Linked DNA regions of Rattus norvegicus. The protein of the gene in region 3 interacts with the protein of the main gene of each other region in a pairwise test. Links are inferred from orthologs where the notes say so. Each region holds a gene or a part of one and is shown on either strand. Other genes may lie near its edges. The genes, in order: Pole3, Gtf2b and Drap1.

Region 1 (4,258 bases), on a different chromosome or scaffold from region 3:
ACCCTGTCCCCTTTTTAACTTTTTTTTTTTCCGGAGCTGGGGACCGAACCCAGGGCCTTGGTTGCTAGGCAAGCGCTCTACCTCTGAGCCAAATCCCCAACCCCCCCTTTTTAACTTTTAAGGACAGTGTCCTTTTCTTCTTCTATTTATACTTATTGACTGTCAAATATATGAGAGGACCTGTTTGGGACATAGAGAATAGCAATAAACAAACACTTGGTTCTAAACAGCTTCTAATTTAAATTAGAGATAGGGATCTAGTGGCCTGGGCTGCACCTGGCCTAGGAGTAATTTATCTTGGCAGGCACTTTTAGCCCATGTCTTAAAAACTGAAATGGTCCTATAATGTTAGATTTCTGGCTTTTCTCCTAGATCAAAATGCCTGACAGCACCAGTTCTAGCTAAATGGTGGCTGGAACTAAGGCTTATGACATCCTTAAGACAGGCCTGTTCTAAGTGCAGAATTCTCTCCATCAGAACAATCCCTTAGCATCATCACCCTAAAACTGTTGGATCGTTTTGTTTTGTTTCTCCAAATAGGAAAATGTTTCTTTGTAACGTCTCCATTAAAAATAGGAAAAAGTCTTGGAACATGTTTCAAGAAAAAAAAAAAGAAAGAAAAATTAAGAAGGAAATAAGCATTAGTTCTCAGGAGTATTTTTTTTTCTGTGCTTAATATGAAAATTATACAACTTAAAGCGACATTGTAAATGTTAACTCAAGTGATGATGATTTTGATAAGAAAAATGTAAGATGACTCACATAATGAATTAAAAAATACTTTAACACGGGTTTTTGAATGAGAATACAATGCATTATTCTTACAGTCAAATGCTTTTCGCCCTTTCATTACCGAACCAGTCCGAATTGAGCTGCGAAGTCTCATCAAGCTTTTGAGATTGCCCAGGTTACTGCTGTCCGAATAATAGCATTTTTTTAAACGAAATTTTAGATAAAAGTTATTCTTAATACAATTATCACAAAGTTGTGAAGGGAATGAAATTAAAGATGGACAATTCTAATGCATAATTCGGTGTAGTAGAATTGAATGAAAAGCTACACTGAGTTCCGGAAAAAAAGGGATGGGGAGGGCCACTCAAGTGTCCGTAGTCCGCGATTTCGCGGGATCAAAGCAGATTCCAAAGGGCTGTGTTCTGAGCCTCTGGGGGCGGACAATACTGAGATTGCGAAAGCACTCCCAAGTCTTGGCCCCGCCCACTTCTTCTAGAGGCCCCGCCCACTCGTCGGTCCCAGTCCTGCCTTGTCGGGCTCAGTCTACGCCTACCCCTTCCAAACTAAGCACCAGGCCGCACGGTTGCCTAGCAGCGGCGCACGGCACGATGGGAGAATAGACGGAAACCTCAGAGAGTCAAACTTAGTTTAGTCCGAAAGCTCCAGCGATGTGTAGTAAGAAACAAGCCTGGAGTGGAACGTCCAGGATGCGGTGGAAGCGGATGGAAACCTCAATGGTCCGAAACAACTGCGACATGGAAAAGCTGGGCTACCCTGGAGACTTGTGGCGGGGTTGATGTAGCAGAGAAGTTGTGGTGCGCAAAGCACTGTGGGACACTGGCAACGTAGGGTAGGACGGAAGCTTCCGAGGGTCATATCTTAGCGACGCGGGAAGTCCAGACACCAGAACTGTCTGCGAGGAGACCTGAGGAGGAGGGTAGGGCCCAAGCGGAGGCAATGGCGGAGAGGCCTGAGGACCTAAATCTGCCCAACGCCGTCATTACCAGGATCATCAAGGAGGCGGTGAGCTGCTCGGGCTGGAGAATGGGTCGAGGGCGGACGTGTGCCAGAAAGTTAACAGAATCCGCATGTGTGTTCATCTCCACTCTCCCTGCAGCTACCGGACGGTGTCAACATCTCCAAGGAGGCCCGAAGCGCCATCTCCCGCGCGGCCAGTGTTTTCGTTTTGTATGCCACATCCTGGTAAGCCGAGCAGAGGCGGAAGGGAGGCGCAGCGGGATCCTAACCCTGCGTTCGTGTCCTGGAACCCACAGGCCCCAGTTCCCTGCTTCACTAGAGAGCGACTCACAGCTCTCCTGCAGCCTCACAAATTCTGAGGCAGGTTAAACAAGACGGTTGTCGTAGCCCTTTGTACGGGGAAGGGATGAATTGAGCTGTGCCATACAAAAACCCATTCATCTAAGATAAATGTGGCTTTTCCCACCCCATCTCTGGCTGTCTCATGTCCCCACCACTTTGACAAGCTTCTGAAGGGCTTTGCTCTTTCTTCCAGTGCCAATAACTTTGCAATGAAAGGAAAGCGCAAGACTCTCAATGCCAGTGATGTACTGTCAGCCATGGAAGAGATGGAGTTCCAACGGTTCGTAACGCCATTGAAAGAAGCGCTAGAAGGTATCCATGTGCTCTTCTGCTTCTTAAACCACGTGAAAGATGTTCATCCTTTGTTCCCTGATCACCTGATTTCAATACTACTGCCATTAGGTCCCATTCACTGGTCCAGGACTGGTCATGATTCCACTCTGTTGAGTTGGTACCATTTCGAATATGTGATATGGGCCTGTTTATTCCTCTGGTGCCTCACTCGGTTTGTCTAATTAAACAATAATCCCCTGCTTCCTTACAGCATACAGGCGGGAGCAGAAAGGCAAGAAGGAAGCCTCAGAGCAAAAGAAGAAGGACAAAGACAAAAAAGATTGCGAAGAGCAGGACAAAAGCAGAGAGGAGGAGGATGAAGATGAAGAAAGACTGGATGAGGAAGAACAGAACGAAGAGGAGGAGGTAGACAACTGACTGGAGAGAGTGGGCAGACTCTGACACGGTGGAAGGGACCCTCAGATACTGAGATGTGTTTATGTGAAGCCTCTCCCTGCAAGGCAGAGCCATCTTCCGCAACGGTGCCTGAGATCAAAATAAAAACTGACCAGAAAGATCAAAGCTAGCTAGCTCTTCCCAAACTCAGAGCGTCTGAGTTACAGAAACCAGCTTTGCTTCATCAGTCTGCAGGTTATGCCTTATTAGTGTAAGGGATTCCGAATGACTACATAGTTTGGTATTGCTTGTTTACTTAAAGTGTATAGCTAGCTAGTTTTTGATCCTATTTCCCTGCTCCTCCAAAAAAGTAATAACATGTTTCTTGCTGCGTTCCAAGTTGCAGAGTTGCTAACCGGTCAGGGGGAAATGGGGCTTGGACCATGGTCACCCTGTTTGACTGTACAGTAATTGACAATAGATATTAATGCTCAGAATGGTTGCTCTTTAGGAAATGACTAAAAAGCTGTGAGAGAATAAGGAAATCTCCTCACTCGATGGTAGCATTGCTTGGCTTCTGGCTTTCTACACTTAGCTTTGTAGTCCTGTAGTGACTGTAGATGCCCAGTGCTCTGGTGTGGCTCCACTCCTAAGACATATACTCTTAAATTCTGAGTGTTGGTTAGAATCTGTCAAAAAAGGGTGCCAACTCCCCACCCCCACCCCCCCAGAGATGAGGATTGAACTCAGGGCCTTGCTAGGCAAGCGCTCAACCACTGAGCTAAATCCTCAACCCCAAGGGTGCCAATTCTTAAAAGCAGGTGGCTTAAACTTGGCGGTAACTCAGTGCCTGCCACTGTAGAACCTAGTGCCACCTCTTGGAAGGTATAAAATCCCAGATTGTCTCTTCTCTAGTCCACCTCTCAGATGATGGCTGCTGCTTTTTATCCCCTGAACTCATAGCAAGTTCCAGAGACTTTATCTCCTCCAGGCACAGCCTTTCTGTCTCCATCTCTCCCGCCTCTGCTTCCCAGCCCTGCTTTCTCCTCCTCTTATTCATTTCATCTTCTAGTCTAGGGACTCTGATAAAGTGCAAGGTCCTCAGATTGTTTCCTCATCTCCTGTCTTTTAAAGAGACTTGAGAAGCACCTCTGACCCTGAAGGTGAGAGAAACGGTGCTCAGGAATGTGGCACCACTGCTGCAGCTTTGAGCGTGCCTGTTGGCCTTTCTTTTCCCCATTTAGTGCTCCAAGCACTTTCTCTGTCTTAGTTGTGCACATGAGGCTGACAGGTAATGTAATATAGTTGAACACTGTTAACTAGTCAGGGAAATACAGGGAAGAGTTTGTTGAAAGTGACTGGAGACTGTTGAGAAGATTTTAATGCTTTCTACAAATAAATTCTTGTTTAAATGATGACCCACACAATGTACTTTTGGAAAGGACTCACCAAGACACCCCTCTTTTACCCCCTAACCTCAGCACACATACAGAGTCCTGTGTCTTCTTGGGTTACCAGCAGGTGAATAAGTAATCAC
Region 2 (4,158 bases), on a different chromosome or scaffold from region 3:
TCAGGTCACGTGCTTTGATATCACATACCCTGCCACAGCCTCTTTGCTTAGAAAATATGCCTGTCTGCCTTTTAAATTCTGCCTTTAAATTTTTATTCTGAATTATTCTCTGCCTTTCCCTGTCTCTGTTTCTCTCTGTCGTGTCTGTCTGTCTTTGTTTTTGTGAAACAAAGCCTAGAATTCATGGGGATCCAGATATCGGCCTGCCTCTTCCACCTGCGTGCTGGGATAAAAGGCTTGCACCACCAAACCGGGCTTCATTATTCTTTGTGTCACATAAGAATAATTTTATTATTTTGCTTTGATCTTTGAGACAAGCTCTTCCTATGTATATAGTCAGTGTAACCTTGGTGTCTCTGTTATACCTCAGCCTCCCAAATGCTAGAATTATAGGCATGGATTACCATATTGGCTTTTTCTTTCTGCAATCTTTAAACTGTTCTTTCTTGTAAGATTTGGGATATGAATGGTAGCACATTGTTTACATAGCTTATCCTGGACTGGCATAGTTGGTAAATGCTGCAGAGCACACATGTAAGAGGACATGGTTCTAAGCTGACGCCAAGTGGCCACGTGAGGAAGCTAACCATCAGCCAGCCTGGGGAGCTGGGTGAGTAACTGTGTGCTCGTCTTCTTAGGGGACCGGGTTATTGATGTGGGGTCTGAATGGAGAACTTTCAGCAATGACAAAGCAACGAAAGACCCATCTCGAGTTGGAGACTCTCAGAATCCTCTTCTGAGTGATGGAGATTTGTCCACCATGATTGGCAAGGTAATAATTCCACCTAGCAGGAAATGTCAAGAGGAGACTAGATAACAATCTAGAAAGTTAAGACTTTTGCAAAAGTGTCATTCACTCACTAAAAGTGTCACACAGAGGAGACCCTTGACTTGGAAATAAGATTCACCAGTGTTAGTATTGTGAAAGTCTGCCAACATTTTTTCCCATCATGAAGGGAAGAACAAATTACAGTCTCGTAATCAAAATTACAGACTTGGGCTGGGATTAAGAGCATTGGCTGCTCTTCTGGAAAAGTTGGGTTAAATCCCAGCACCCACAGTGAGGCCCACAAACTGTCACTGCGGTCCCAGGGGATCCCTTTGGCATCGGTCATGCAGTGGTACACAGACACACACACAGGCAAGCACCTGTATACATATTATTACAAAATAACGTTACCATCTTTGTACTGGTTGTGTAAGACTTTTTTCTGAGGAGATCCAATATGAACATCTGTTTACCCCAGATGGAGAACCAGTGATGGACCCAAGTAATGATGCTACCATAGGCACGAACTGCAATCCTAGAGCTTTCTTCAGGCAGCAGGCCAAGCTGGAGAATCTCTGCAGGCTACGTAGCCAGTCATAGGGATATATGTGGTAGACACCTACTTAAATGTCTGTGAAACCAGCTTCTTTAAAGCATGTTCTAGTGGAAGTTTTTGTTGGAACCAGGGGCTCCACTGGACAGACTCCCAGGACAGATGGAGTCAGAGCCTGTGCATTACATCTTCATAGACGCCGTCTGTTCAAATCGTCCACAAAGGTTGAGCAAGGTTAACTCTTTCTTTGATAGGGTACAGGAGCGGCAAGTTTTGATGAATTTGGCAATTCTAAGTATCAGAACCGGAGAACAATGAGCAGCTCTGATAGAGCTATGATGAACGCATTCAAGGAGATCACGACCATGGCAGACAGAATCAACCTCCCACGCAATATAGTTGTAAGTTCTTGTCCACCTCCTTTAAGACATTCCGACATTCACTTTGTATAATTTAATGAACACATAAAATTTTGATACTGTAAGTAATTAAATGGTCTAGACTTAATTAAACTTAGTTTCTCTGCTTTGAAGGATCGAACAAATAATTTATTCAAGCAAGTATATGAGCAGAAGAGCCTGAAGGGAAGAGCTAATGATGCGATAGCTTCTGCTTGTCTGTACATCGCTTGTAGACAAGAAGGCGTTCCCAGGACATTTAAAGGTAGGCTTCAGTTGTACCAAAGAGCTCAGACAGGCAGCTTTGAGGCTTAACGGCTAGTGTGCTGTACTCGGTACAGTAGACCATGTACGCCACTTACCGTGGCTCTGTATGGTTTTTGACAGAAAATGCACAAGACAGTCTTCTGTGCAAGCTGCTTTTGCAGGTAGCATCTTTTTAATCCCTGTAAGGCCACAGTACAGGTGACTGTTTTATGGGTTTGAAGGCCTGACATATGCTGCAGAGGCTTTTGAAGTTACATCTGTAGCCAGTGATGAAAACAATGGCTAGCACAGGTTTCACACTTGAGGGGCTCAAGTCTTGGAAGACATCAGTGGAATTTTTTTTTTCCTGTTTATTTTGAGGCTTAGTGTTTGCAGTTTTGTGCAAACCAAGGTCTTTGAATTAAGTGCTGGCTTTTGTCAAGCTTGTGTTTACTCGGGCACAGGATAGACTCCTCCCGTGTTGCTGTGATACACTGCCCTCCACTGACTAGGTCCGGGTTGGGACTACATTCACCATATCCAACGAGCATCTCATGAATTTCCTGTGTCAAAGTGAGAGGAGTGGCTGTCGCATGTCTTTTTGCTGTAACAACCCAAACAGGGATAGCAGGTTAGCTTGTATTGTGACAGCACGCAGACAGTTGCAGGGCACATGTATGCACTTGCATTCTTCAGACTGAGTGTTGTCTTTCTTCTCCTTAGAGCCTGCCTTATAAGGAGATAAGAGAAGTTGATTACTTGGAGAACTTTTTTTTGTATAAATTGAACTAGATAAGTTTGTATTCTGGAAGGATGGAATGTTGAGTAATAAACCACAAAGGTAGTATTGGTGAAGGGATTTATGACCTCATCTTAAGCCTTGATTGAATTCTTTTTACAACCAGAATGTTTTATTTTTATAATAAAAATTATAAAATGAACTGTCTTACAAATATTTTAAGAATATTTTCTCTTTTAGAAATATGTGCTGTGTCTCGAATCTCTAAGAAAGAAATTGGCCGTTGTTTTAAACTGATTTTGAAAGCTTTGGAGACGAGCGTGGATCTGATCACAACTGGGGACTTCATGTCCAGGTTCTGCTCCAACCTTTGCCTCCCCAAGCAAGTGCAGATGGCAGCTACACACATAGCCCGCAAGGCTGTGGAGCTGGACTTGGTTCCTGGCAGGAGTCCTATCTCTGTGGCGGCAGCAGCTATTTACATGGCCTCCCAGGCTTCAGCTGAGAAGCGAACACAGAAAGGTAGGATCTTCAACATGAAGTCATCCATGAGATGGCAAGGTTGGGAATGTAGTGGTTTTACTCCTAATCTCCCATGAGAAAGGTTAACTTTTCAGATCCTTGAAGAAACATTAACCCATAAGGGAAAAGGATTGGACATAGTCCTACTCACCAAGAGTAGGCTTGAGAGCCTGGTTTTCAGTCCCAGCACCTCACAACAGCAGACCCCTGAAGAAAATACAGTAAAATACAGTAAAATACAGTAGCTTATAGTGATTATTTACAGGCATAGCCTTGTGTACAAGTCTCCTTCTCCAAATTAAACTTTAATTTGTGTCTTTTGTGAAGGGACCTATTTATTGCAGCATATCAGTGGTTCCTCTCCCTGGGTGATGCGGTATAGGCCATGTTAGAGCAGATTAAAAGTAGATAGAGGCAGGCTTCTTAGGAGGAAGAGCTTGAGCGGGTTCACCCATCTCGTAGGTGCAGGTCAGTGAAGTACTCCTGGGTGGGCCCTCGAGTGAAAAATGATGACGTTAGCCCAGGGTATTTTCTGTATGGAAGGACTTGGGGGAAAGATGGGTTTCCTGGCTTGTGCAGGCATGAGCAGGGCTCCCTACCTACGTTCCATCACTGAGGAAAACGGTACCCCTTTCCCCAGACACCATTGTCAGTCATCCCTCAGAGAGGGATGTGGCCTCGTGGCTCATCCCCATTTGTGTGGTTTTTGTTGTTTTTTGAGGCAAGGTTTCATCCATCACAAGCTGGCCTCCAGCTTGCTGTGTAGCCCAGGATGGTTTTTATGCTGTGCTCGGGATAAAGCCAGGCTCTGCACATGGTTGGTATATTGTCTCAGCTCTGAAACTGGATAAAAGTAAGCATGTCTGTCACCACAGGAATATGCCTTGGGTTGCTTCACATATCTTTAACAACAGAAATCCAAGCTGTTTGA
Region 3 (4,159 bases):
GGCTCTTCCTTCGGGGATACTTGGGCAGCTGTCCTCTCCCTTCTACCAGACCATATGGGTTGCACAGGACCCCGCAGCTCCTGTCTGGTGCCTTCCCCTCCATCCACACACCTGTCTCTAGGCCTCAACTCTCACAAGACCAATCCAGTGTCAAGAGCACCCCAAATTCATCACAGCCAAACTTGAGATCATCAAGCTAAATCTTGTCTTTTCCTCCTGTGTCCCTCAGCTGGAAAGGAGTCCCAAAGAGCAGAAGAAAATGAGAAAAGGTGCAAAGGTGATATCCTCCCTTGGTCCTTTGCAGCTTATCTTCAAGCCTAAGGCCTACCCTGAGTCTCCCCAGACTACAGCCACCATTGTCCGCACCCACACACCTAGCACATTCCCTAAGGGTCTCTGAATGCCTCCATCAGGAAGAAGCTGGTAAGCTTGTTGACAGATGACTTACCATCCCCTCTAGGGCTTTTACACTTGGGAACCCCACATGGCTGCTGCTCCCTGAAGGTGTACCTCTTGCCTTTGGCACACAGGTTGCCCAGGCTGTTCAGATACAGTTGGCAGACTGCTTGGCTCCAAAGATGCTTCGCAGACCCTCTGCTATCTCAGGTACCCGTCTCTTCACTGTGCCGAGCCCGTCACTGCACTGGCTGCAGAACACTATACTTTTCTTTTTTTTTTTTTAAAAAGATTTATTCATGTATTATATATAAGTACACTGTAGCTGTCTTCAGACACACCAGAAGAGGGCATCGGATCCCATTACAGATGGCTGCGAGCCACCATGTGGTTGCTGGGATTTGAACTCAGGACCTCTGGAAGAGCAGTCAGTGCTCTTAACCGCTGAGCCATCTCTCCAGCCCAACACTATACTTTTCAAGGCCCCGTCTCAGTACTGATTCCATCTGTCCCTTCTCAGCAGTCCAGAGAGGGGAAGAAGGTGCCCAAGGTCCCACACAATGAGAGGTCACCCCTTAGCATGTGGCAACTCAGTCCCTAGACCACATTCCTTTCTTCAGTGCCCCAGACTCCTGTCAGACTCCCTGTTTTAACTCAATCACTGGCTGCCCCAACAATGTTCCTTCCTGCTGCCCCCATGTGGGGAGGTGGGGGGATGGGCAATACAGCCACGAAGCCCTGGACACAGGATGAAAAGAAACCAAAATCCTTTTTTTTTTTTAATAAATTTAAGAACAGTTCCATCTTTCTCTTCTCCCCAAAGCAACTAATACTAACTAAAAGAGCATATGGCCAGGGTTAAAGGGCGCTAGGAGTCATAATCCTCTTCGTCCTCTGCCTCAGGTGCTGAGGGGCCGGGAGGTGCTGGGGGTAAAGGCAGAGGAGAGGTGAAGGGCATGAAGGGAGTTGGAGGGCTGCAGGACAGAAAATGGAGAAAATCAGAGCTTGGAACTGTGCTGTGCCCAACCCACAGGCCCACCCCCATTCTCCAGAGACAGAAGCAGGTGTAGTCAAAGCCACCCATTACATCATGGAGACAACCCCCCTAGGAGGGAAGGTCCCAGCAAAGACCATTCTCCAGACTCTCTCCCCGACCCACTACCATGGAGGCAAGGCCTTCTCAGAACAATCTCTTGTGTTTAATAGTGTTCTCTCCCCTCCATTCCCTAAAGTCAGCCGCCGCCACCGCCGCCACCACCACCACCACCACCACCACCAATGGCTAGGGAAGTAAAACTAACTGGCTCTGGGGAGTTTGTTGTGCCTCTTTCTGGTATCCCTGGGGTGCTCACCTCTGAAAGTGGGCAGGGGGGTGACTGGCTTGGGGTGGGGCCTGTGGTGTCTCTTCTTCCCCATCTGTATCTGTGTCCTCAGACTCATCCTGTGAGCACAGCAAGGGTCAGGTTAATGAGAAGGTCTGGGCCCTTCTCTGGGGAGCCCAGAACCCTGGTAAGGCAATGGAGTTAGATACAAAGGCTGTAACAAGGATGAGACCAGGCCTTCCCCACCGGCCTCACTCACCTCCTGTTCTGAGTCTGTCCCGGACAGCTTTTTGTCTTTGCTTTTGCTTCCTGTGCCTCCATTCTTCCTGCCACTGCTGCCTGGTTTCCGGCCCCTTCGGGAAGGTACAGGCCATCTGCACAGAGGACTCTCTCCCCTTCTTCACCCCCCAGCCACCCCCAACCCTTGTGGCCTTGGCCTTTCCCACTTATATACCTGGTTTTGGTTACCCACCTTCGAGGACCCTTGTCCCCATCCGTGTGGTTGTCTTCCCCATCACCCTGCATGTCAGGCACAGATGCCACCAAGTCTTTCAAGAAGTCAAATTGCTGTTCAAGCTCAATGCACTGCTTCCTGTAGAAGTGGGAGAGGAAGGTGTTCAAAAAGGGCCCCCAAAACACTGATGTTCCGGAATCATAGAAACAACCTTTTCGTGTCAGTACAGTGGAACACCCCTCCCCACTTCCACCAGGCCTCCCGGGCGGGCGGCTTGGCTCTGGTTGTTCCCTCCACCTGAAACACCTTATCTCTCCTACATCAGTCCAAACCCACAAAGCTGGCCTCCCTCAGCAGCGCACCACTCCCCCTGTCAGAACACTGCCTCCTCAAAAGCCCAGCTTAGCGGCCACTCACAGGTGGGACGTGGTCATGGTTTTGGCATTTCGAGACTGGGTCACCTGGCAAGCCTTCTTCAACAGAGACTCCAGGAAGAGCTCAAGTGCCCGGGCTGAGGACGTCAAGGAGAATCCAAAAAGGGGAGTGCCGCAGTCCCGCCCCACGCCCCTCAGCCCAGCCAGCCCCTAGTAGGATACAGATGATGACAGGCACAGCTGCCGCCACCTTCCCAATCTCTTCGTCTGTCTGCATGATCTTCTTGATCCGCGCCTGCCGAGGGGAAGGGGACAGAGCTCGTCTCCTGCGTCTCTACAGGGGAGCTGAGTGAACCGGGGGGTATCCCAGGAGAAGAGGGCGGGGGGCACTAAGCCAGGAGGGCATGGAAGGGGCGGGGCGTCAGGCCATGAACACCTAAAAGCACCCGTCCCCCCACCAGCAGGACCTGGGCCCAAGCCTCCCAGGAACCTAGCCTGCAGAGGCCCATCCCGGCCACGTGCTCACCGGCGGAAACCGCGCGTTATACTTCTTCTTCTTGCTTGGCATCTCGGGGCCTCTCACGCTGCGCCGGGCCCAGCGCCGCCGCCCGCAGCCTCCAGGCCCCGGGCCTGTTCGCCGCCAGCCGGCCGCGGTTCCCCCCGGTCCTGGTGCCGCCTACTCCGCCCACACCACTTCTCGCAGGGTCCTAGTGCCGTTCGTAGAAAAGCAGCTCCCAAAACCCAAGCGCTGGGCTTTGGATCCTCTAGGGCGGTGCGCGTCCTTCTCAGGGATCGCCCGCCACGCCCACCCGCCCTCCAAGCTAAAGTACGAACGTTAGCTCCGCCTCCTGAAGACCTGCACCTCCCGGGATTCTCGCGCTGGCTCCGCCCCTGAACTCAGCCCGCCCCTTCCCCTGGAGCCCCCGCCCCTAGCCTTCTGGTTCCGCCTCTGGCCCCGCCCCGTGACTGTGTTTGTCTATAAAGTTGTTGTTGAGGTGGCGGGACCCTAAGATGGCGGCGGCGGCGGCGGCCGTGGCAGGGGCGGGGCGCGGCGGGGGTGGCGGCGCAGACCCCGGGCAGGAACGGAGCCGGGCCCGAAGTTGGGTTGGCGCGGAGCGGAGTGAAGGCCGGAGGTGACTGTGGGGCGACGAGAGGGCAGCCCGGGGGTGGAGGCAACCCTTACCTGTGAACACTAATGGCGGCGGGTGTGGTAAGGCTGGAGCCTGGTCCTCGCGCAGACTCTGTCCTATCAGGTTCGAGTCCGGATGTTGCCCATTGACCCCCAGATGGGCCGCTGTCCTCTCTGGGTCTCAGAGTCTTGGTGTTGATAAGTGTGCCCCAAATAGTTCACCATGGGAGGCCTGGCCCCTCTCCAGCCAGCCTCTGAGATTGGCGAACCTGCGTTTTGCCTACGTCCATTAAATTGCAGCGCCGCGCTACCTGCGAGACTCTAGTCCTGTGGTGTAGCAGAGTCCTGTGCCAGTTAACACTTAAGCTTTAACGGTCTTTACAGACATGACCTTGGGCAAGCCCCTTTTCTCAGAGTTTCAATTTCCTTGTTTTTAAGCAGTGAAAGTAGTACTGACAATAGCGACTCCACCTCAGGCATTTTA

What was found.
Region 1: the proteins of Drap1 (region 3) and Pole3 interact in binary tests that used the Homo sapiens proteins (3 or more experiments, as listed by UniProt). The two-hybrid records come from large-scale screens. The link is inferred for Rattus norvegicus from reciprocal best matches to the Homo sapiens genes DRAP1 and POLE3.
Region 2: the proteins of Drap1 (region 3) and Gtf2b interact in binary tests that used the Homo sapiens proteins (3 or more experiments, as listed by UniProt). The two-hybrid records come from large-scale screens. The link is inferred for Rattus norvegicus from reciprocal best matches to the Homo sapiens genes DRAP1 and GTF2B.

What each region holds. Positions count from the first base shown.
Region 1 is NC_086023.1:80,990,161-80,994,418, reverse strand, and holds the start of Pole3 (DNA polymerase epsilon subunit 3), read left to right. Parts: upstream 1-1,676; 5' UTR 1,677-1,689; coding exon 1,690-1,755; intron 1,756-1,849; coding exon 1,850-1,935; intron 1,936-2,245; coding exon 2,246-2,364; intron 2,365-2,596; coding exon 2,597-2,763; 3' UTR 2,764-4,258. Other genes in the region: C5h9orf43 (uncharacterized protein C9orf43 homolog), read right to left, coding at 826-886. UniProt on the Homo sapiens protein: Accessory component of the DNA polymerase epsilon complex. Participates in DNA repair and in chromosomal DNA replication.
Region 2 is NC_086020.1:234,440,938-234,445,095, forward strand, and holds part of Gtf2b (transcription initiation factor IIB), read left to right. Parts: intron 1-638; coding exon 639-772; intron 773-1,576; coding exon 1,577-1,723; intron 1,724-1,855; coding exon 1,856-1,985; intron 1,986-2,945; coding exon 2,946-3,227; intron 3,228-4,158. UniProt on the Homo sapiens protein: General transcription factor that plays a role in transcription initiation by RNA polymerase II (Pol II). Involved in the pre-initiation complex (PIC) formation and Pol II recruitment at promoter DNA.
Region 3 is NC_086019.1:212,160,444-212,164,602, forward strand, and holds Drap1 (dr1-associated corepressor), read right to left. Parts: upstream 3,320-4,159; 5' UTR 3,115-3,319; coding exon 3,073-3,114; intron 2,842-3,072; coding exon 2,769-2,841; intron 2,684-2,768; coding exon 2,590-2,683; intron 2,311-2,589; coding exon 2,191-2,310; intron 2,093-2,190; coding exon of another isoform or gene 2,072-2,092; coding exon 1,978-2,071; intron 1,838-1,977; coding exon 1,749-1,837; intron 1,371-1,748; coding exon 1,265-1,370; 3' UTR 669-1,264; downstream 1-668. Other genes in the region: Bles03 (UPF0696 protein C11orf68 homolog), read left to right, coding at 3,558-3,679. UniProt on the Homo sapiens protein: The association of the DR1/DRAP1 heterodimer with TBP results in a functional repression of both activated and basal transcription of class II genes.